4 linked regions of the Coturnix japonica genome follow. The protein of the gene in region 4 binds, or shares a complex with, the protein of the main gene of each other region. Links are inferred from orthologs where the notes say so. Each region holds a gene or a part of one and is shown on either strand. Other genes may lie near its edges. The genes, in order: CYFIP2, WASF2, ABI1 and NCKAP1.

Region 1 (5,841 bases), on a different chromosome or scaffold from region 4:
TCTAATCTTCACTAGAGCAGCCTCTGCTGACAAATACCACTGGCCTTAGATTAGGCTGACAGCTATGAAGATAACTGTGCCATAAAAGTAATTGCTCCTTCTGCACAGAGAGGGAAAATCTTGTTATGCAGTGGCTCTAAGTATATGACAGCCTTCCAGCAAGCGAGAACCAGTGGCTGCTACGTGCAAAACTGCTTTATATTCTGAATCAATTTCTGTGTAGAACTGAGAACTGAGAACATGGAAGGTGGGCAGATGTGGACTTGGACAGGTAGTCTTTCTAGAAAGAATCCCAATGTCTCACTGTCTCCCTTATTTTCTGCTATTCTAGGATGTTATTATATTGCCAACGTACAGCTCTAGAGACAGGAGGAACATTTTTGCAGTCAAATGGGGATTTCTAACAGAAACCACCATGTGTCCCTTATGCATCCATTTAAAAGATGGGACATAAAAGGCAAATGCAGTACATCTAGCATAAAATTCAGCACAGAACAGCAGAGAGCAGTGACAAAGCCACAAAAGAAACATAAACTGCCAGGATACTGTCTGGTCATTCTGTTAGATAAAGCCAAGCTGCTAGGTGATATATATATCTCTGTTTGTTAAATCTTATGCAACTATTGCTTTTCAAATATGTTTGAAATACCACATTAGGAACTAGAAGCCTTTCTACTGGGGTTATTTGCAGAGATTTTCATTTTTCCCTGTGTTCTGTAGTTGAGTAAACTTGGAATCTTTGAACTTTCTTCTGGTTTTTACTCTGAACAAAATCTGATGGCTTTGCTTGGAAATCCCATGTGTGCTCAAGGAGGCTTTATGAAAAAACTTCTGAAAGATCTGACACAACTCTGTCTAAACTATAACATGGAACATGCATCTTAATGCAAAACTGGATTGTTTTTGCAACTCCTCAGTTGGCTGTAACGTGTTGCATTCAGCCATAGATAGCCTTTGCCCCATACCAGCCCACTTAGGTTAGAACTGGCATCACGTGAGCTAAGAGGCTGCGAGACTTGTGCATGCACAAGATGCTTGTGCAAGGGCTAATGTCATGTCATCACTCCAGCTAAGTTTTTGGTGAAGATTAAGTCATAGGAAATATAATCTCTTCTGAGATTTCCTTCCTTTCATATTGCTTTATCTTTACTGTCATTAGAACCAACCAGTTTTTCCATTGTACTACCACTCCAAAGAGAGCCAAGGGCTCAAATATACTCCTTACCGTATGGGTATTAGAAAAAGTAACAATCCCTGCCCCAAAGAGCTTACAATCTACAAATAAGCTCCAGTTGATTTTTATTTCTGAGATGGACAAACATGGGATAGCTTTGTGTCCAAGAATTAAATCTGGATCTTCCAGTATTCAGATTCTCCTTGAGCAATGCCAGATGTCAGTGACCCAGCACCAATGTATACCATCCCCACAGACCACAACAGCAGAGCCCTGGAGAGACCCTGGGTACATGATAAGCTGGAAAATTTCCCCAACTCTTCTGCTGGAGAACCCTTTTCCTCTCATACTCTTGAGCTGGAAATGTTAAGTGGAATCTGCTGGTGCAGGGTATGTTGCCTTACCAAAGCCTGCTCAATAAGGAGGCAGAAGAGAATTGCATTGCCCACTTCTCTGAGGCTCTGGAACACATCAGTCTTCAGCTCTGCGTATTCAACGATGTCCTTCAGCTGATGATGGAAAAACTCCAGGATTCCTTAAAAGACAAGGGAGGGCAGTCAGAAAAGTGAGAGCAAAAACATCCTTCAGTAGTGTGGATTAAAAGGCAGTCAGGGCCTGGTGTTTCCTTTATCATGAACTGCAAGGACTGCTGAGTGGATAGACAGGGATAGGCACTGAGCAGAACCAGCAGGCAGCGTGTCATCCTGCTTTCACTGACCCGTGAGAAATAGGGTGTAATTCCTGTGAAGTCTTTGGATTTCCCCATCGGAGAAAAAAAGAGATTCAAGGCTGCTATGGATGCCTTTGTGCTGGTTCATTTGTAACAGTCAGTTTTCACATCCAGCTGAGTTGCAGACTGCAGTCATACGGTAAAAAAAAATCTTTCCATCAAAGAAGTAGAGCTTTTTCAAAAGTAATAGTGAAGCCACTGTAACAAAAGCTTAAAAATCCTGAAAACAAAACCTAAACAACCAGCAGACATACCCTTATCCATCATCTGTCTGTTCAAAGTGAAATTTGTAACAGGAAAGTTGTGTCACAGGGAGGCCAGGCTGCATGGTGCACCAGCACAGTGGGTACCTGTCCTTGTTTAATTGAGTAAATGCTATGCTGATATTTGGATGAGCTCTTGCTCAAACCATGACACATCTCACTGTAGCACCCACCTGGAGAGCCATATTCGTGTCTTGGCAAGCGGCATATCTTGGGCATGACTTCTATCAGTGTCTTCACATACTGTAGGATGGTGCCTTGCAGCTGTCAGAGACAAAGAGGGGTTAAACTGGAAGGATGGCTTCTTCTGGCCTTGGTTTTAAATAGAACAGACTGTGGATGGACTTCTGTCTGACAACAAAGGGTGAAACTTTAGTTGGAGTCTAAGAAGAACTTGCTTCCTTTGGATTTCACCCAAACATAAAGTCCAGCCCAAGTGCAAGGAGTTTTGCAGCTTCCTCCTGAATAATAAATCATGGTTGCATGGATTTTCTACTTCAAAATATGGCTCATTGTGTTTGCATTATTTGCAGCTGAAATCCAAACAAGGCTTCATAGTAGATCCAGCTGGACTTGTGTTCCTAACCCAAAAAGCATTGGATTGGAGCTGCTAAACGAACCATTCCACCGCACAGGAAATGGTCTTCCCACCTGAGGAATGATTCTAGACACTGAGAGTTTAAAAAAATGTAAAATATATACACATGGAACAAGTTCCTGCACATTGGATGTTTTGAATTAATATGGGGAAAAGCATATTTCATAGTTAAAAATGCTCGCTGTCATTTGGAGTTATATAAATGCATCTTGTAGACATATTACATGGGATTATGTGATAAACATAATTTAGCCAAATGCAAGATCTCTGTCTTCTCACTGAATGCTGTCTGATCTCACACAACAGCTACAGTGCTTTCAGCTGAATGACACAAATTACATCTTCAATAGCTACAGTGCTTTACAGCAGAGAAGCTGGGTATGTGCTTAAGATTCAGGTCTGCACTGCTTTGCTAAATAAGTTCAAAGTTAAATCACTGCAGCCAAAACAGAATTTAAATATTTATAATGAATTGAAGTCTTCTCTTTGGTAAAATCGTTTTGGGTAGAAAAGCGTGACCTGAAAAATGATAAATTTTTGCTCTCTCCCTCCTGCCTTGTTAACGTTCTGTATTGTTGGTGCCTTTAGGGAGCACTTCCCTGTGGATATCACATCTCTCTTTTGAGAGCAGTACAAAGCAGATGGAGCGACTGGCTTCAGCGTATCTGATAGAAAGGGACGTATGGCTTGAATTCTTAAGAGCTCACATCTGACAGAAATTTCCTTGCAAACACTTTTTCATCAGTTTTGTGTCCTCCACCTTAGTAACAGCGAAACTAGACGATGAATATGAGTGTTGCAGTGTGGATAAAGGAGCACAGAGGTGCCTATATTTCAACAACCCAAACCAAAACCTGAAGGACAGGCTGACCCTCCAATTCATGTCTCTCAAAGCATCAAGATTTCTCTGCTGCCAGTATCAGCATTACTGGCTCAGAATTACCAGGCTCTTGACGATCTTCAGCAGCTCTTCCATGACCACGGCGATCCCCTGATAGCCAAGCAGCCTGCAGATTGTCTTGAAATGAGGTGGCCCCACAAAATTGCGATAGGAGCTATAGATGTGACTGTAGGCAATGTTGAGAGGCTGAGAAAATAGAAGCACAGTGACAGTTAGGCACATTTACAGAACTTGTAAGTAATTTTCTTATTGTACTACTGTGTTCCATCACTCGAAATCATTTTGAAGGAAAGCAGGAAAAATAATAATTCCTGTAAGAAATTTCTTACAATACTTCTTGAGGTACAAAAAGATTGCTCTTCTTTCTGTGCAGTCAAATGTATTCTACTCTGAGAAAATTGTCATGTCACAAGGTTTATTACCCTGCTCCATTGCCAACACCACTTTCATTTCCAAGATAATTTGCTCTCCTACATACTTTCAGTCAAGGATTTCAGTTCACTGGCCCTTAGCCTCTTCAAATCCAAGTTCTCCACCAAAACTGAAAGCTTTATACATGAATAACGGTAGAATTTTCCTATTGCTACCTGCTTCAAAAGAGGAACAGTAAGAAAAGTAGGAACTAAAGCATCTGAGCCTAAGACTGGTTGGAAGAGACACAGAAATGATCTTTTCTGCATCCTGTACAGCCCTACAGGTGCTTGAGATATTTACATGTGACTGAGCCCAAGGGGAAGAACCTGACCCTTGTCTAGGGAGCATACCTGGGGCTCTGGCCATTAGGAAATAGTTAGCAGCAGAAAACAGAAGGCAACTTCCAGGAACATATTTTGTCAATATAATGTTGGAAATATGGTAATTACTACAATTTTTTGGCACTAGAATGTTTTTTTATACTCATTTGGTGTAAGAAGAAGAGAAGAAGGGGAATTAATTCACTTGTGTGACTGGCAAAAGAAACCAAAAATCAAAAAGAAAACTGATTTTAGCTGAGAAACCGTATGCTCAGCTTGGCATCTACAAGTGAAGTGTTGGCACCATGACTCAGCCCCAGCAGAGAAGGGCTGCAGCCTCCCCAAGGAGATCTGTGACAACCACAGCTCTAGTACACAGCACTGAATCTTAGAAAGACTTTGGCACATTAGTGCCTCTTCCAGCAAAACACAGATGAAATCCCTGGCTCAGAATTGCTAAAAGATCTTAAACAAGACTAATGAAACAAGTTATGTCTAAATGGTGCTGAGCAAGGTGTGCTGCATCCTTCCACAGCAACCACAGACCCGGCTCTGCAGGGATTCCTTTCCATGCCAGCACCAGGGACGAACTCTGGCCAAGGCACCTGAGAGACCACCACACTGGAGAGCTTAAGATGAAAAGCAGCAAGCACTGAAGAGGCAGATGAGGACAAAATGGTGGATCCTCAGCCCCTGCTGCTCCTAGCATTTGCAATGCAGCCAGTTGTGTTCAAAGGCTTCACTCATCCTCTCCTTCTGACTCACTTCCACAAGCCTAACAAGTTAGGATGTGAAGTCACTTGCTAACAACCAGAATAGAATTGTTTTCTTTTGCTCTCAGATACAGAATTTCTTCTGACGGATGTACTGATAGTTCTCATGGATTTGACAGTTGCTTTAATCAGTGAATTAATTGTTTTGTTAGAGCCCTCGTACCCTGGTCCAGCAGTGTATTACCTCCTATGATTGCTAGGTACTCCTCTAAAGAGCTAGCAGGAAAAAAAGTGGAGAGTCCCCTGCCTCTCTTAAAACTTCAGCTTTGGGTCCTGTTATACAGAGAGACCCTTCACCACTCTTCTGTGCATCAATGCTGTTATGTACACAAAGCCAATCTTGTAGTCTCTGTAGTGCACTCATTCATAATGTGCATGAACTTTCTCCTCCATCAGAACTAAGCAATGGGCCCCTGGATAGTAAAGGCCTGAGCATAATAATTTTGGGGAGATAGAATTGGTTGTATTTTCCCTGGAACCGGGCTGACATTTTGCTGCATGGACTGCAGCTTTTGAGCCATCTTTTCCTTGGAGTGGGGGTCCCAGCAATAAGCCTGATTAGGAGAAGATACATTTTAGGCTGTGCATGGGCTGCAGATGAGGAGGGTGATTCATCCCTGCCTGTCTGCAAGATAAGGTGGGCTCATCAAGCTCTCTGCACAGCACAT
Region 2 (5,841 bases), on a different chromosome or scaffold from region 4:
CCCCCCGTCCTGAAGAGTTTAAAATCTACATATGCAAGGAGACATGACCACGGGTGAACAGAGATGGGTGAACTGACAGAATAAGAAGCTAAAAGGAGCAACGTCCTTAGTGCTCTGCTCTCCAGCATAACCTGAGGGTGGGAACCCCAAATAACCACGCAGAGGACAGCACTGATGGGGTGGGAACAGACTTGGCACTGACAGCAGCCAGACCCACCGAGTTCCCATTGATGGGAAACATTTCCAGGCACGGCTGCTGAGCACGAGGCTGCTCCCAACGAGCCGTCTGGTTCTGTAAGTGCATCATCACACGGTCAGCAGTTTGTTCTGGAATCTGTTAGTCCCAGAGATCCTCTCCGACATTCAGGGAAGGATAAGCAGTGGGAAGGCCGACTTTAACAGCAATGCTGGAAAATGTGGCTGTCTGCAGCACGTCACAGGGGAAAGATCCCCTCCACGAGGCACAGCAATGGCAGCTGGTAGTGCCTGTGCAAAGCCTTCCAGCAGGGCTGAGCTGACACCCATAGCAGAGGTTGCTCATTCCCCCCCTGTTATCAGTGACTCGTTCACAATGCCACGCAGTTCTCCTTACACTGCCAAGCACGGAGAACGAGGCAGGTTAAAAATCAACCTCCCCCACCCTTTCTGGTGGCAGTGCCAGCTCCAAGTGCCTGCAGAAGGTAAAAGCTGGATGTGAACTGCAGCTGACCTCCCTCGGCTCACCTGGACAGCACTGACTCCACGTATGCTCTGCTAACAAGCCCAGCCAGCTCTCCCCAACCTCATGGGGAGGACTGCAGCCATGGAGACCCAAGGGCTGGATTGCACTCACTGCAGCCACGTTTCACCAAGCACTCTGTGCTCACCATCAGCACCAGCTCTCCTGTTTGACCAAAGGAAGTGAACACTTACCTACGTGATCATTTGTTGCCCCTCCCAGCAACAGCCCACAGAGCTGTAATTTGGTTCTGTGTTAATGAGAACCGAGAATCAGTTCCAAATCTCACCAGGAACTGCAACAAGTAGAAGGGAAGATACCAAGTTTGTGGTGCTGAGCTGCATGTTTCAAGCACAAAGAGCACTGCACGTGGTGTCCTTAGCCCCGTAAGCAGCAGGGATGGTTGGTGTTCCCTCACCTGTCTAAGTGCATCAGTCCTGAGTTACCATTCAGGATCTGGCATACGCTTCAGTGCTCCACGTGCAGTTTTAGATGGGGAAAGGCAGAGATTCATTTTTGGTCTCATTACTTTGACTGTTGCAAAAGTGCAACTCACAATCAGAATGATCTCTGTCACGCACTGGCAGGAAGACAGGCGGTGTGATTCAATAGGTCTCTCCATCTTTAGCTCGTGCATTCCATAGCACTGCACAGCCGGCTTATACAGAGCGCTACCAGCTGTGATAGTAACGAAGGGTAAACTCACTGGAATATGAAAGTTTGACAAGATTTATGTTTGCATCTTTGTAAAGAGACTGTGGTGCAGCAGGCATGGCTGATTATTCACTTGACAGAGCTGTCACAGCCTACTGAACCTGCTTCGCATTCCCTCAACGCTCAGCGTACGAAGGAGGAGTGGATTTCTTCCTCCAAAGTAAGAGAGGTAAAGGAGGGGGGCAGGACTTTGGTCAGCTGGCTGCGAGTGCTGTGCAGCACCGAGTCTAAATAGCTTCATTTAAAGCACCGCTGACCACAGGGATGCGGATAAGGGATGGTGCTCATTATCCCCCCACATGCCCTGCTCTCCTCCAGGTACCTGGCTGCATGCAGCTCCCTCCCTGCACCACGCAGATATCACAGGGCACCTTCCTAGCAAAGGAGCCTGGCTGCAATGTGGCTCCCAGTGCTTCACTGTGTCCAGCTGAGGCAGCCATGGAGAAGCTTTGAATATCTGAGCTTTGCAAAGACGGCCTAAATCTGCAGGATCTCACCAGGGCTCTGTCACACTAACCCGCTGCATGCCTTTGGACTGGGATTAGCTTTCTCTGCAGCTGAGATCTGCACAGCTTTACTGCCTCCTTCCTCCTCATTTCACATGCACGAGATGGATTCTCCTCGCATTCCACAACCATCTTGGCTACCAGAGCCACCAAACGACCAACAGGGGTCAGTGGGATGTGAGCGGATGGACGGGTCCTGCCCGTGCAGTGACATTTCCACAGCCCAAAACAGAACGTGACACCGACTGGCAGCCATCACAGGCCCCGATTTCAGTTGCAGCCATGGCTTTCACTGCTGGAAAGAGGCTGTAGCTGAGGCTTTCCTGCCACACGAGGCAAGGGCCTTACATTGCAGAGCAAGCACAAGTGCTCGCAGACACCACCAATAAGCTCAACAATATGAGTTGGATTCTCATAGTCTCGCTTCAAGGGCAGAGGCGGCTAATCAGAAGCCAGAGCATTTCAAGAGAGGACGGAGCCATCCCACAGAGACCACCATTAACTCTTCTCTCCTCCCATGCCATGCAGGCCCATGTTTTCCCTATAGCCTTTCCCAGGCTATGGGGCAGCTCACCGGAGAGCTGAGCTCGGTGCTGCCGTCTGTGCGAGCAGCCCTGAGCCCCCTGTGCTCCAAAGGCAATGCTTGGGGACTTTGGGTCTTCCAAGGTAGCACACAGCAGGGGCCAACAGGCTGCTTCTGCACGGGCGCTTTAATTATCCTTCATTAAAAAGAAGACTACTTACACACCATAGCTTCGGCACAGTCAAGCTCCATTTAGTAGCGCACGCAATTAGAGGCACATTCTCTGACACAAGATCCTGGCTGCTCCGAGAGCCTCCCATTTTACAAGGCTGAGTTGTGCTCCATCCTTCCATCTGCAGCTTTGCTGCAGCCTCGCACACACGCACGCACACACATGCGCACACCCCCTCCCCAGTTTCTTCTAGCTGGGGAAGGCGGTGGGACCAGGGATATGAAATTAGCATCGCATTTCTTTAGGAAAACATTTTAGCATTACCCGGGGAAGGCAGATGGGGGAGAAATAGGAACACAAGAGTAGAAAGGGAGCTAAATAAAGAGCACTAGCGACTCCTGAGGGCAACGCGCAGGCTCGCCATGGTACTCACTCAGGCTGCCCAGCTGTCGAATGACATTTGCCAGGGTGATGTTGGTCATGCATTCCAGCTCGCTTCGAACGCTAGGCAACGTCTGACGGCACAGGTGCCTTGGCTCAATGTTCCTCGTTACTAACGGCATGGTGGACCTGCTTCAGGCGCTGTTCTGAAAGATGAAAAACAACCCAAAAAAGAAACAGGAAAGGATTACTCAACCGCAAATTCCAGGCACACCAGAGCCGTGGTGTTCGTTTTTCCTGCTCTCAAATGGCTTTATTTATAAGCCTCCTTTCCCCCTCCCTTCCCCGACCTTATAATACTGGTCCTTCAGAAATAAAGATCCCGCTGTTCTGTGACTCGGTGACAGCACAGTCCCACCAGCTCAGGTATGGAGGCAGACATGGAAAACTACCCAGCTTCACCCACACATGAGGTGCTGCCGGCATGGCCGTCACCATTCCCTTCCTACCCATCCGCAGCCTCCTTCCTTCCCCGCTCACACACAGCATCAAGCCTTAAAACCCTCCTTCAGGAACACGTTCAGCTGGACACGGATGGCTTTGCTTCGTGGAGGGCAGGAGGTTGGGGGGGGAACAAAGCACGGCTCCTCCTGCAACGCGGCTCTGCTGGAACAACAGGAAGCGCTCGCAGCTGACCAGGAAACTTTGTGCCGGCTGCTCCTCATCCTGCAGGCTGCACCCTCAGGAAATGCCCCAGGGCTCAGGTTTACACTGAGCCATTGTTATTGTGCTGGGGCAGTTTAACCATCAAGGAACCCGAAGTGAAGGAACCCTAAGCAGGACCAAGAGCTTTACAGCTGCTCAGCCCTACCAAGGGACTAAACTCTCCTTTGCCAACAGGCCGAAGCGTCCAAGCAACGAACATCCCTCTTGTAGTGTCTGCCCCTGTAATGATGCCCTGTTGGTAAGCAGAGCTCGGAGCACAGGCCTGAAACCTTCGAAACTCAGGGAAAGCAAATCCAGCCCAAGTCGGTGATTAATTTAGAAGGGGAAAGAATCGCTTTTCTAGGTCAGCTGAGGAGCAGCCCAAGAGAAGCAGCCAGCTCCCATGTGATAGGCATGCTGAGCTGCAAGGGCTGGGTGTAAAAATAAAACAGGAAGCTAACAGCTTGGGGAACATGGCTTCCTGTCACCAACAGCAAAAAAGCAAGAACCATAAAAAATCAGCTGTTTGCTCTTGACTTTGAGCCACCCTTTGATAGTCTCTGTGGCAGCTGGCAGCTTATCTTTGAGGTCCAGGAGTCCTTCCTGGATGCTTTTCTATCAGGGTGTTAAGAGGAAGAAGTGGGCATTATCCCTCCTAATTACCTCACGAGCCAGATTTTGAATTGCTAAATGTGACCCATTAAGGCAGAGGAGTTGGAGTGCTGCAGCGCTGGGCTATCTCCTGGCCCAGCAGATGGAGGATGCCATTTTGAGCCAGGCACTGCGAGCACACAGCCCTGCACCAGGGACAGGGCCCCAAACCATAAACCTCGGAGCAGAAGGGAGCAGGGTTTGACGCCAGGTAAATAAAAGCTGAGCTTCTCCAAGGACTGAGGTCTGTGCTGCTCTTCGCCGTGTCCAAGCGCTGCAGCAGCCACTGTAACTGCTGAGATATATAAAGAACAGGGTGAACCAAGGAAGGACTCTGACCTTCGCTTCCAAACACCCCGTGTTTTATTGATTACAGCCCAAGCCCTGCAATCTTTTGCCAGCTTTAGCGCTTCAAGCCAGACAAAGTTTCCCAGCTCCCCCCAGACTGCAGTCTGCAGCTCTCATAAACAAGGCAGCATTTGCAGGCTGCCTGCATCCAGCTTCTCCCTCGTGCTCCCCAGGGCTCGGTGGGATCTGCAGAGCCGGGACAGACACCAAGCCTGGGCTGGATGGGAGAGATGCATATGGAATAAAGGGAAGCAAAATAAACCACCAGCACAAAGAACAACCACTAAAGATGGTAGGTGTGCTGGGTCAGAGAGGAGCACTCATTGCTGCATGTAGAAGAGGGCAGAAAGATGGACTACCACCCCCAGATACCCCTGCAGAAACACCAGCCTGAAATACACCTATACCTTGTCTATACCCTTTCCCTACCCAAAAGGGTTTGGCTTCTAAGCCTGTTCTGCAACTCAAGGCAATGAGTAGCGGTGCAAATCGCCTCTTTACAACTGCACTGCACAACTCCGGCACCAATCTGCACCGGTGCAAGACAGCCAGCAGCGATAAGGGCTAAGAAAAAACACTCCCTTTATAGCCTGGCTCATCCTTGCAGCCACCCCCTCCCTCCCAGCACAGCCTGCCACACTCCACTGCAGAATCAAGACTTTCACCTTTGTGATGGCTCCGACAGCACAGCACGGCAGCGCTGCTTCTTCCCAAGGCAACAGGGCCGGCCCTGCTGCCCCTAACCCCAGCCAGGAGCAGCAGTGAGACGTGAAGGCATTAACCCTGCAGAGCAATGGAGATGAGCGAGGCAGGAAGGATGGGGTGGCAGCAGGCAGACAGCCCTGTGCTCCTGCAGCAGTGATGGGATGAGAGGCACTGAAAGCAACACTCCATGACCCCTTGTCTTTGAGATTTACAGCACAGACAGAGGAAATCTGGGACCCACAGAACCAGTAATAACAGCAGGGCCCCCACAAGAAGGCACTGCCCTGGTGGACATCCCTTTTCTCCATCCATGGTGGGGAGCTGCAGAGATAACAGCTAATGGGCTCCTGTAAAACCTTCATGCCTCACGAGTAGGTGGGACAAAGATTAATAGTCTTGGATTGGAAAAGAAGTGGCG
Region 3 (5,841 bases), on a different chromosome or scaffold from region 4:
GTCTTGCTCAGAAACTGTCTGAGCTGTGAAATGAATGAACAGCAGGAACAGGGGCTTTCTGGGGGGCTGCTCAGGCTGGGAGCACTGTGCAGGGGACAAAGCGAGTGAAAGGCTGCAATTAGAGGAGCTGACTGGAGGGAGCAGCTGTACCATGAGGGTACCTGGACCAGAGCATGACCTTGGGCTGCTTTTAGTTCCCCTGTGGCAGTAGGCACTGGGTGTTGGCACTGCTGTGTCAGGGAAGGGTTGCTCTCTCCTGCCATGCAAGATAGGCAGAAAAACAGAGGGATGGGTTGGACTTGCGTGGCACAAAGGAATTATTTTTTAATTCTCTGTGCTTTGGAGTTTGAGTCCTTCAATGAAGTTAAGGAGAACAAGGAGAAAACGGAGTTCAGATGAGCCTGAGGATGTAGCAGGATTTGCTTTTGATAGGATATTGAGATTGGATGGGCAAAATAAATAGCGCTATTGAGCCAAGGGGCTGCATTTCTTATTGCCAGTGCATTCCAAGATAGAATACTTGAAAATGTTAGTGTTCAAGGTTATTTCTGTTGGAAGCACATTTTAAACCTTCTGTGCTTATTATTTCACTTGGCGGTATTTAGAGCTCTATCTCTTATAACTGGAATACAAAGTCACTTTATTTTTCCCAGGACTGATCTCTTCTGATGAGTCTACAGGTGGTGGCAGTCTGCACATCAGAGTCACCTGCAGTTCTTTATATAGACAAACTAATTTACAAACACCATCATTCATACAAACACGTTATTTCCATTTTTCTCCTCAAGAGAGTTTTTAATAGTTAAGTTTTTAGTTAAAATTAAGCACATTTGCATTCTACATTGTTAAAAAGAAGTCGATACATTTCTTAAAATACTTTGAAGCCATATAACTTAACAGCTTGGTTATAACCAGCAATGGAACAAGTGATTAAATGCCAGTAGTTTACTATTTTTGTTTTTGCTTAGCTGGTGTGTTGCCAAGTTCCGTGTCTTGCAAGGGATCTCTTGGTAACTGGTGAGAAATGAAGAGCTCTGCAGCTCAGTACAATACACACACTGTTCTGAAGGCAGAAATGGGGTGGGTAAATAGATCTCAAAAGATCCGTGCTGCATTTCTGAGTTGATGCAGTCTGCTCAATGACCTTGGAAGTCTCTGAGCTTCATTTTCTGTGTCTGTAGAATGGAGACAATGAAGCTGATCTGTGAAGTACTTAAAGATCTGCTTAAGTGATATGCTTGATTACAGCATAAAACAGTGCTGCTAGGAAGAGCGCTGATGATTGCAAATGTAACTTGTTCTGTGAATAGTTTGGACTTACTCCTGTCTTAATGAGTTGAATACCTTCAGCCAAGAATGCTTTTAGGATGGTTGAGCATTTGGAGGAGAGGGGGAGAAAGAGGACATTGTTAAAAGGGAAAGAATTGCTCACATGCAGTGAGAGCAAGATAACCCTGGGATATGGTACAGGTGTAACTGCTGCATAGTATGTAGTTCAAAGCATGTGTTTTTGGTGATGTATTTAACTTAGACTTTTTTAATCAGTTTGTGCTGTAGGCCAGCTTGTAACGCTTTTTCCGCTTTGGAGAGTTGAAGGTGATTTTCCCACCTCTCACTGGTGGAATTTGTTTACTATACTCTACTGTGGGTCACTGTGGTCTCATGTGAAAACAGAAGAAAACAAGTGGCTTCGCTACTTTATGCAGTTATCCTTTTGATCTACTGATTGTTTATCCTTCTGTCTTCAAATCTTTTTCTCCTGACCAGGCGAAATACTCCTTACAAAACCCTGGAGCCAGTCAAACCGCCAACGGTCCCTAATGATTACATGACCAGTCCTGCCAGACTGGGCAGCCAGCACAGCCCAGGGAGAACAGCTTCCTTGAACCAGAGACCAAGAACACACAGGTAGAGTGTTTTTTCTCACTCACACTCCTTCCTGCCTGGCACACTGCTGCTTTCTGAAAATCACAGAAAAGCTTTGAAGCTTAGTGCTATTGGCAGCACAGACTCCATTTGTTTTGTTCTGTGGTACTTTTTTCCCCAAAATAAGCAAAACTTCAAAATTTATGCAGATGAGAAGTCAAGTAGTGATGAGTCCTACTGGGTTGAAAGCTGCCTTGCTAACCTTAGCCTAAAATGCAGTTTTATAGAATAGTTTTTTTGTTGTTGTTTTCAAGTCCACTATTTGCAAAGGGGAAATTCTGTTGATTAAACACTGTGATGAAGGTAGTCTGAAAGAGCCAGTTGCTTTCTTTTGACTGAAACTTAATGCTTGCTTGATAGAAGCGGAATGTAAAGCTTACTCACAAAGCAGGTATTGGCATTAGCCAATTGTTTCCACATGCTGGAGGATTTTGATGAAAGAGTAGTGTGTCCTTAGGTGCAAAAGGTATCTGTGTGTACTTTGTTCTTTTTTTTTTATCATGTAAATTTATTCTCAAACTGCAAGGCTAGATTTTTCTTTGAGCCTCATGAGTGAGTTTGGTTTCCTCAGTTTGACGGTATCAGAACTTTCAAAACTGCAGGAAGAAAAAGCAGACAAAAGAGTTCAGTGTAGCTAAAAATAAATTGGTAGTTTATTTTTCAGAGAGCTGCTTCCTTATTATTTTTTTTTAACACCCTGTAGACAATTAAACACAATTGGTCACTAATTAGGGATTGAGGGTATTTTGGACATGTTGTTCATGAAATACCATTAGAATTAAATAGTATCTAAATCTGGATGCAGTGAAGATCTTGTTAATCTGTTTAGCTGGCTCCAGTGAGTGCTCTCTATACTTGTCTCACATGGTCTGTATTTTGTGTAGACTGCAGTTACGAAGTCAGCTGCAACCATGGTGACAAGATCAAGGTCTTCAGCAACAGCACACTAATTTTGAAGGAATTATCTTGCCTTCGATTTCAGATCACAGATTCTCTTTTTGTGACACTATTATTTTCTTAAGAAATGTTTGAATGATTGGTAGCTAACCAGGAACAGTAAATAAACTGTAAAATCACCGGGTACTTCTTCATTAACATGAATGGGTGAAAGTGTTTTGGCTTCAAGGCATCTTGACTGCTTAGTTCCCTTTATATTATCCATTTAATCCGTGTAAATTCAAGCCTTGGCCTAAGGAATGTTCTTGGGTAAGAATAAGGACAGATGTTGTCTGAACTTTGATTCCTTTTTCATTCCTCAGTGAAAAGAGATGTTTTGGTCTCTGCAGTAGATCACTAAAAGCGTGCTCTGTAAAAATCTGTATTGCTGGCCTAGGACATATTAACAGTACTGAGACAAACTGCCACCTGGATGTTCTGTTATCTTATAGACTATCTTAGAAACAAACTTCTCATACACAAATTGTGTGCATGTGTGTGTGAAGAGGCATATTGGCTATACAGATAATTATTCCTTCCCTTCTCCTGCCCAGCTTGGATAATTGCAGTTGTTCTTAGTGAAAAACTTCTTATTCTAAGCCTCTGTTCTAAGCAGAGAAAAGGTTCCTTCAGCATAATTAATTTTAAATAGTTATTTGTAGTTTAGGCATGAACTCTTCCAGCTTATTGCTTCTAATTAATACGAGGCTCTTGAGCTATTCCTGTAGTTGTTACTCCATTGCCTAAAACTGGTATGGTTGCTTACCTTTTTGTTTTTGAAGTCATATAATTGGACATTTTATGCATAGTTGTGTTCATCAGCTTAGCTAATTCCATTTATTAGGAGTGTAATGCTTCCTGCATAGTTGATTAGCTATTTGAGATTGTAGGTAGAGACAAGGGCGTTTTATGGTGGATTTTTTTATGGTCTGTAATTGAGTTAGACCAGAAGAGTTCACACAAAAAGCGTGGCTATCAACACAGGCTTTTGTAGGAAATGTGTGCTAATACTTGTGTTTTTCCGTTCTTCTCTTATAGTGGTAGTAGTGGAGGAAGTGGCAGTCGAGAGAATAGCGGCAGCAGCAGTATTGGCATTCCCATTGCCGTGCCTACACCTTCACCGCCAACCATTGGACCAGGTAGGAGGGACTCTTCCCATGCTAACTTAAGGCTGTAACGACAGTCACTTATGTCTGTACAAGTAAATAGAGGTTTTTAGCTCAAATGAAATACAGAAGATGACCTACAGAAAATTACCAGTAGTAGAATTCAGACTTGTCAACTGGTGCCATTTATTCTGGTACAGTCTGAAATTGCTAAGCTGTGAGAGAGACCACTGAGAGAAGTGGGAGAACTGGTGTGTATAGCACAGCAGTGAAACAGAGCCATGCAGGATCTCTCAGTGTCTAAAGCATAATTTGTTGTCTTTATGAATGACGACTAGTGGGAATGTGTAGAATCCTTTTTTTATAATTATTGTTACATAGCAGGATTGTCTTGGTGACAAACCAACCATGTCTGTCACTTGTTTACTGTTTGTGACTTTTGTAACAGATTTGTGTTAACTTTCCCAAGAAAGTAGTGAAATTTTGGTGCAATGTATTTTTCTATTGCACCTGTTGAATTTGTTCCTTGGTTCACTTTCTTACACATGTGTAGGTTTTCCTTTCTCTTTCCCAGATGTTTCTGATCCTGCACTGGTCCGAGTAGGCATATATTTTACTATCATCTGTCATCCCATTGAAATAAATGGGAATAAAACCTGCAGATACAGAACCCTTTGTAGGATCAGGGCCTGAGCTTGTTATCAGTTTACTCAAGTTGAATTTTTATATTTATTTGGGAAGCCTATCAAGTTCCCTTGCTTTCTTACCTGCTTTTTAAGTATGTGGCCTAATTGGGAATATAAACTATTTTAGCACACATTTCTGTTCCTCCTCCTCCTGGAGCCCCGCCAGCACCACCACTGCCACCACCTCTCCCGATGGGCAGTCTGATAGGTGAGACTTGTATCAATGCTGAAGTGATTGCAGTCATGCTGCATAATCAATAATCATCTCTTCCTAATGGACTTAGTGAAGCTGTTTTTTCATCTGTACTGGGGTCTACATGATTTTAACACAAAAATCAGTTCTGACGTGATTTTTTTTTTTCTTTAAACAAATCTAATCTCCACTAATTTCCTGTGGTTAAAGCCTCTGAAGGTAAATGTACAAGGTATGGGGAAAAAGCTGCTAGCTGTTTGAAGTCTCTATTCCCAGCAAAGCTAAGGTCCAATCTGTCTGATCTGAAAGAACTCAAAATGAGCTGGAACATTGCCATTCTGCTGTATCACTCTTGCAATTGAAACTAAGCTGCTATGGTTGCACTCTCACTTAAAAATGGTAGCTGATGTGTAGGGTGATGTATGTATCCTATCCTGTGGGAAGAAGGTGACTGAAAAGCAGAAGTGTCTGTCACAGTGGCTTGGGTTTGATCCTGTAATGCTGCAGGCAGATACCAAACTGAAAGACTTTATGATACAAGCTGACAGTTCTTGAAAAAATGCTTCAAACATTACATGTTGCTGTTAGGAAGGGATTTAAAAGCAATAAGTGTAAAACCATGTAGAACTCTCCCTTTCCTATCACAGACTGATGTCAAAATTCATAGATCTTGTTATGAAATCAGCTTTGGAGGCTTTGACCCACGTAACCCTTTGCACTTTCTCTTACTGAAGTGTTAAGAGAAAGTGACTTTGGATGGCACTACAGGACTGCAAACTTCTGACCACACACTGTGCCATGTGTGTGCGTTTTGTATATATTTTTATCTGTCTGTATAAGATATATACGTATGTATTTAAAAGTACAGAACATTTTATTGCGAAACAATTTTTGCATTCAAAAATTGCAGTTGTGCATTGATCCATGTGACCTCAACGTTTGAGATTCATTAGTTTGCAAGGCTTGATGCTTTCATTTATCTGTCAGAGGTTAA
Region 4 (5,841 bases):
GAGGATCATACTTCAGGAAACAATCCCAAGCACAGTCAAGTGCTGAACTTGTCCTTTTTCATCACTCTCCTTCCTCTAATCCTATGCTGCTACAAATACTTTGCAGCCCTGAGCACCAGTACTTTCTATTTTTAAGCCAGAGCTGACAGTATCCAAGACATTGTATAAAAAAATTACCTCTTCTGGGCACAGTTCGTGGGTGCAGCTCATAAAATGAGTACAAAGGAGTGGGAATGCAATCGAGTATCTTGATTGAGAGGGAAGCTCCAAACACTGCTGAAACATCTTCTCAAAAGCACGACTATAAAAACTGATCAGAAATAGACAATTTAATGCAATACATGCGTAATTCTGCCGCAAATAAAGTCTACTTACACAAATCAAACGCACTGCTAATGCCAGGTATGTCATTATAACATACGTGATAACAGAAAGCGCATCATGCTTTTGAAGACATTCACTTCTTACCCATTTTGTTTGCATCTCTTGTTATGATACCAATTTTATTCTGATGTTTGACACATGGGCACCACAAGGATTTGCAGCTTTTGCTAGAATTCGTTACATAAGAACTCATAAATGACCCCTGATCAGTTATGTGAGTGTCTGAACAACCTCTGACAGACCTTCAGAAATAACTCCAAACTAACTCAGGCAAACACTACGACAGCACGTATTCCACAGCTGCTACTTTTTAAGTCAGCTTCAGAAAAAAATAACATACAAAAAGAGAAAAAGTACATGAATCTTCTTTCAACAAAAACATGACAACCATATGAAAACAACTTTCACCAATAACTCTAGCCCTGATTAGTTTGCGTTTTCTCCATCTCAAACTGAAAAAGAACCACCTAAAGTACTACTGAGAAAGCTTCTCCAAGGACAGTATTTTCACACTGGGACTCACAATGATTTATTTCTACTGCAGATAGTGTTTAATTATTTGACCTTAAGCAGTCAGAGAAAGATTCCCATCTGTCTGCTTCCTGATCCTTACTCTTTTCCTTTTTCCAAACTCAGAAAAAGAAGAAAAAAAGCCAAACACACAAAAAAAAAGCTAACTATGAAAAACCATTACAGAAGTGACAACGCAAGGCTGGCTCTTCCTGCTTGGGAGCAGAAGAAGAAGGGAATCAACTGCTTTTTCTTTTCCAGAACAGGAAAGTTCATGGATGAACAATGTACAGTCCCCTATTGAAGCTCATCAGGCTACACTACATACGCCAATGAGCAATTCTGTGGACTGATGCTGTTCTTTGAAACCAAAGGCAGACAAACTTGGTGTTAAGGTTAGTACAAAATAAAGTACAAATCAATAAACCCCAAACTCTAGAACACCAACCATCTCAGAAATAACAACTAACCAGAACTTCATCCGAGTCTCCCACTGAAGTATCCTATGAAGCTTATTAATTAAAAGTTAAACTTGCAAGGATAAAAATCCAACAGTAATTAACAAAAATATGAGCTCAGCTTTGTAACTTACCAGAATATAGAAAGATCTGAGGTCTCAACCAACATCTCCACCAAAGAATCTACCATTTTTGTGTGGAAAATGATTGTGTTCATCATTTTGCCTAGCTCCCTGTGGTCTGCCAGTCCAAGAGAAGCTTTAGAGACACTGGTGTAGGCCTGGACAGAAACAAGAAGGCAAAAAAAGCAGCAGGTTTATTTTCTAGTTTCATTGCTATTGCCCAACACGGAGGTTAAGCACTGATTACGCTATGCAGAGAACAAGTGTATGTAACAACTTCACACAGCCCATTTTAACATTCTACTGTACTTTAAGGAAAGCAAACCACCTTCCAGCAAAGTCTCCAGATGTCTTGAGTATGACAGCAAGGCACAGATGAAGAGAGGCAGGAAAACACTGACAAAACACTTATGCACACTAGTGGAATCAAGTTTAGAGAACCGGCCCCTCTACTTTGTAATATTCATGCTCTGGTACACAAGAGGAAAAAAAGTGTATTTTTCAAATATGAGAAAATACCATGTCTATCTAATATTGATATTGCCAAAACATTTCTCACCCTTTTAATGTGTGAACTGGAGACAGAGTAACCCCAACACAAGTGATCTCACTGAACATTCTCTTGCCGAGCAGCCTCTACCTTTCCTTAGCTGGGCAGGCTGAATCATATTCTGCACAGCACACAGCTGCCAACAGCCCCCTCCTCCACAACACATTCCATTTCCAAATGGTTATAATTCTCCAAAGAATTATTTGCAAAAAATAGGCAGCAATGCAAAGGTAAAAACGAAGTTACACCAGAGAGCAGAAAATTGTCCTGTGAGTTTCTTTGAGTTTTAATTGCGAAGAATATCCTTATACAGCCTGTCACCTACTTGCATTAACAGTACGAGAATAATATCTTGAAACCAAAATGGGATTTGTTAAATTCCATGCAGACATACAAAGTCTTACCTGCAATCTAAACCAATCTAATCTCATTCCTCTGAAGTCAAATACCTCTCCATCTTCAACTGAAATAAAAACAAAAGCAAAATACCAAACGTAAACACTCAAGGAAGGTAACAACAGCAATTCAAAAACACTAAAATTACTTGGGTTTTGAACCTCTTTTACCTGATAACTTCAATCCAGCACAACCATGCTAACAGGAACTGAAATATTTAAATATGGATACATATAATATCCTCTCTAAATTAAAGCTAGCGTTCTTCAAATAGTTTTTTTAGAAGCCTTAAGTAACAGAAAAAGGACACAGAGCGAGAAGCAGATACCATAAAGGAAAAGAAACAAGGAAATCAGTTGAGTTTATGCCATTTATCTGCTACTTCTGATTGCACATAACAGAAAGCCATGAAGCCTTCCAGAGGAACATTTGATTTGGTTCCCATTTTCCCCCACACTCATAGGAATAGACTCACCTTGCTTCACGCTTAGCGAAGTCATAGTGTTTACAAAGGAGGACATGATGATGGACTCATCCTCTGGGCACACTGAAAGATTCTGAAATAATTGTTGTTACTATTATTATTATTTCAAATCTCATTTATAAAAGACTGTCAAAATTTATGACAAATTACCATCAGTCATCTGATAGTATGTTCTACATACTTTACAGAAGGTAACTTAATCAACAGAGTTTCAAATAGTGAGAATTAACAAGTTCTATTTTCCAGTTCATTGGTTAATGACTCTACCCACAAAAGGTTGCTTCCAAACAACTTGGCCACAGAAGACAAAAATCTGTCAGTAGCCATTCCCACACATTTTCAGGCTGTTGTCATTTACAAAATGGACAGGGACCATATTTATGCTATACTAGAGACACCAAACATTTTTCAGACTTCTATAGGCACCTGAAATTCAGCTGGGCTCAGAAAATTCAGCAGAGCCCAGCTCAGAATCACTAGGCTTCCCACAGGACCATCCATCAACAGATTTCTACTAACATCGACTTGAGTGACTTAAAGCACCCTAAAGACAGTCTGCCATGTTTAGAAATCCTTCAAATTTAGAATCTCCTTTAGAAAGGAGAAATTTACAAAGAAGCAGTTTCAGTGATTGTTAAGATCTTATTTATGTTGAATTTAAGGCTCATATAAAAGTAAAACCAAGGATCCAGTTACATTTCACATTTTAGACTACAGTAATATAAACTAATAAATCAACTGTTTCAATTGCATGTTAAAATGAACAGCAGAGGAGATAAGCTCCCCCTTCTGGTCACTGATGTACTACCTCACATATCAAAGTTCCTTCTGTAAACAGCAAAATAGCTTCATACTCAATAGAAGCTTCTCCAGTTTGAGTAGCTCCTGTGTTCACTACATTTGGGCGCCACCTCGTGGCCGCTCAGAAACGTCATCAAAGCAGCTCAGAAATCCTGCTAGTAATTTACCAGCTAAGTGACACTACATCAACTCCCGGGCAGCTCAGAAGCTCCACAGTGTATATTCACTTGCAGCGATGAGAACAGTAGACCACAGTAAAAAAGTCTCCGGTGACACCTACAAATACCTGACTTCGTATTTAGGTTATTTAAACACATGAAGCTACCTCAGCTGACCATTACTTTTTTGCTTTGAGCAAACAGTGATGCAGACTGGTATCTCTTTACTGGAATGATACAGCACTGATCTCAAATACTTCAATCACTTCTTCAATACACTGACGCTGAACAAGAGAAGCCATCCATTTATTGAATATATTACAAAAGAATACCAAGGGATTCTTGTTGCTCCCTGTTTCACTTGCCACCACTTGGTAAATGACACAGGCCCTATATTCTCCACTGCGTCAGACAGCAGAAGCATTGAACAGAATTAAGGGTGTTACTTAGAGTTTATTTAACCCTAGAGTTAAGCAGTAAGCTCAGATACTTGGCCTTATCCCATGACATTTATCAAAAATCCACAAAACCAAATAGAGATTCATGAAGACATTTTGGACCAAACAAAAAACAGAACCCAAACCATGGTCTTGCCATACCTGAACAAGCTCGTTTAAGACCACCGCATCAAAGCCAGAGAGATACTGTACATAGTACCTCTGCATCACGGGCCCGTACTTGCGCACGTGTGCTCTGAGCTCCTCCATGTAGAATATCAGCTCAGCTATGTGCCTGTGCAGGAAGGCAAGGGAAGGCTTACAAACACAAAGTATAAACAATATTAAATGCTCCTATCAGTGCAATGCTTCCCATGGGGATTGCCTCCTAAACCTTGCTTTAAAAACTATTACTTACAGGTAATTTTTGTATTCAGCATCATCTCACATTATATAATGTTTTCATAGAAATTTTCTCTGTAAGGTAAAACCCACTCACTTGTAAATATATCAACAGGATCCCCCTCACAGTAATACTCAAAAGGTCCCTGTAACTACCCATTCCTTTCTGAAGAAGCCCTTTTGTAATGGCCAATTAAAAAAAGCTAAAGCAGTTAAAACTGAAGATCAGAGCTGTAATAATTGCTGATTTCAGCTCAAGTCAGAAGATCTTTATTCTAAAAACCCATAACTTCACAAGAGGTTAAGGTGCCCTCCTCTGCTGAAAGCACTGCACAGAAGATAATGCTCATCACTCCTTGTGTAGTCATTAATAAACTAAAGTAGTTAACACTGGGCAATATTCTATAAGCAACACTACCAAAGCTGAAAATGAAAGCTTAAAACGCTCTCCCAATTATTAGACTGATGGTTTCTTAGACTAAACCCAGTACTCTGTGAGAAACAATCAGACAAGTGGATATGCTGTCAGACTTTATTCCCAAGATCAAACTTCTGTGCTCCCTTATCTCAAAAACTCTGCATGAACAACCAGCTCCCTTCAGTCTACTCACGCTCATGAGATTTCTTAATCTTATTACTCAGTTTTACTTCCTGTTTATGAAAACACCAAACATATATTATACAAACAAACCTGATTATCTGATTTAAATGACAGCTCTGCTATGATAAAGGAGACATTCTACAAATCCATCTCTGGAACAGTCTGTTTTCCCATTCATTAGTGACCATCTACGTTCACACCCCCCTCCCTCCCTTCTTTGAGCTAAAAGAAATGCTTAAGATTGATCACAAAATAAATTTCCTTCACAAATAAATCTTCCACAGACAATGTATTTCTACCACTGCTCCAGCAGTTTCTAACACAATAAACACCTCTGCTTTTCTGCTTTGATGGGAAGATTAGCACCATCACAAAACAGCCCAGGTTCTCCCATCACGTTATCATTCTCTGATATTCCTTCGCCTTCAGATATATTCCCTCCAAAATGTTCTATTAAATATTAAAGCCATCACACTACAAGCTGTTAACGTACTTATCTATGAAATCATCTGCACTCTTCTTTGGCATGTTATCTGCG

The links.
Region 1: NCKAP1 (region 4) and CYFIP2 share a complex: the UniProt entries of both Homo sapiens proteins name them as parts of the WAVE1 complex. The link is inferred for Coturnix japonica from reciprocal best matches to the Homo sapiens genes NCKAP1 and CYFIP2.
Region 2: NCKAP1 (region 4) and WASF2 share a complex: the UniProt entries of both Homo sapiens proteins name them as parts of the WAVE2 complex. The link is inferred for Coturnix japonica from reciprocal best matches to the Homo sapiens genes NCKAP1 and WASF2.
Region 3: NCKAP1 (region 4) and ABI1 share a complex: the UniProt entries of both Homo sapiens proteins name them as parts of the WAVE2 complex. The link is inferred for Coturnix japonica from reciprocal best matches to the Homo sapiens genes NCKAP1 and ABI1.

Annotation. Positions count from the first base shown.
Region 1 is NC_029528.1:13,088,494-13,094,334, forward strand, and holds part of CYFIP2 (cytoplasmic FMR1-interacting protein 2), read right to left. Parts: intron 3,853-5,841; coding exon 3,709-3,852; intron 2,432-3,708; coding exon 2,341-2,431; intron 1,710-2,340; coding exon 1,579-1,709; intron 1-1,578. UniProt on the Homo sapiens protein: Involved in T-cell adhesion and p53/TP53-dependent induction of apoptosis. Does not bind RNA. As component of the WAVE1 complex, required for BDNF-NTRK2 endocytic trafficking and signaling from early endosomes.
Region 2 is NC_029538.1:1,777,681-1,783,521, forward strand, and holds part of WASF2 (wiskott-Aldrich syndrome protein family member 2), read right to left. Parts: intron 3,492-5,841; exon of another isoform or gene 3,365-3,491; intron 3,221-3,364; 5' UTR 3,197-3,220; coding exon 3,067-3,196; intron 1-3,066. UniProt on the Homo sapiens protein: Downstream effector molecule involved in the transmission of signals from tyrosine kinase receptors and small GTPases to the actin cytoskeleton. Promotes formation of actin filaments. Part of the WAVE complex that regulates lamellipodia formation.
Region 3 is NC_029517.1:14,549,045-14,554,885, forward strand, and holds part of ABI1 (abl interactor 1), read left to right. Parts: intron 1-1,767; coding exon 1,768-1,908; intron 1,909-3,900; coding exon 3,901-4,001; intron 4,002-4,781; coding exon 4,782-4,862; intron 4,863-5,841. UniProt on the Homo sapiens protein: May act in negative regulation of cell growth and transformation by interacting with nonreceptor tyrosine kinases ABL1 and/or ABL2. May play a role in regulation of EGF-induced Erk pathway activation. Involved in cytoskeletal reorganization and EGFR signaling.
Region 4 is NC_029522.1:6,232,986-6,238,826, reverse strand, and holds part of NCKAP1 (nck-associated protein 1), read right to left. Parts: coding exon 5,797-5,841; intron 4,596-5,796; coding exon 4,463-4,595; intron 2,978-4,462; coding exon 2,896-2,977; intron 2,488-2,895; coding exon 2,429-2,487; intron 1,633-2,428; coding exon 1,487-1,632; intron 311-1,486; coding exon 178-310; intron 1-177. UniProt on the Homo sapiens protein: Part of the WAVE complex that regulates lamellipodia formation. The WAVE complex regulates actin filament reorganization via its interaction with the Arp2/3 complex. Actin remodeling activity is regulated by RAC1.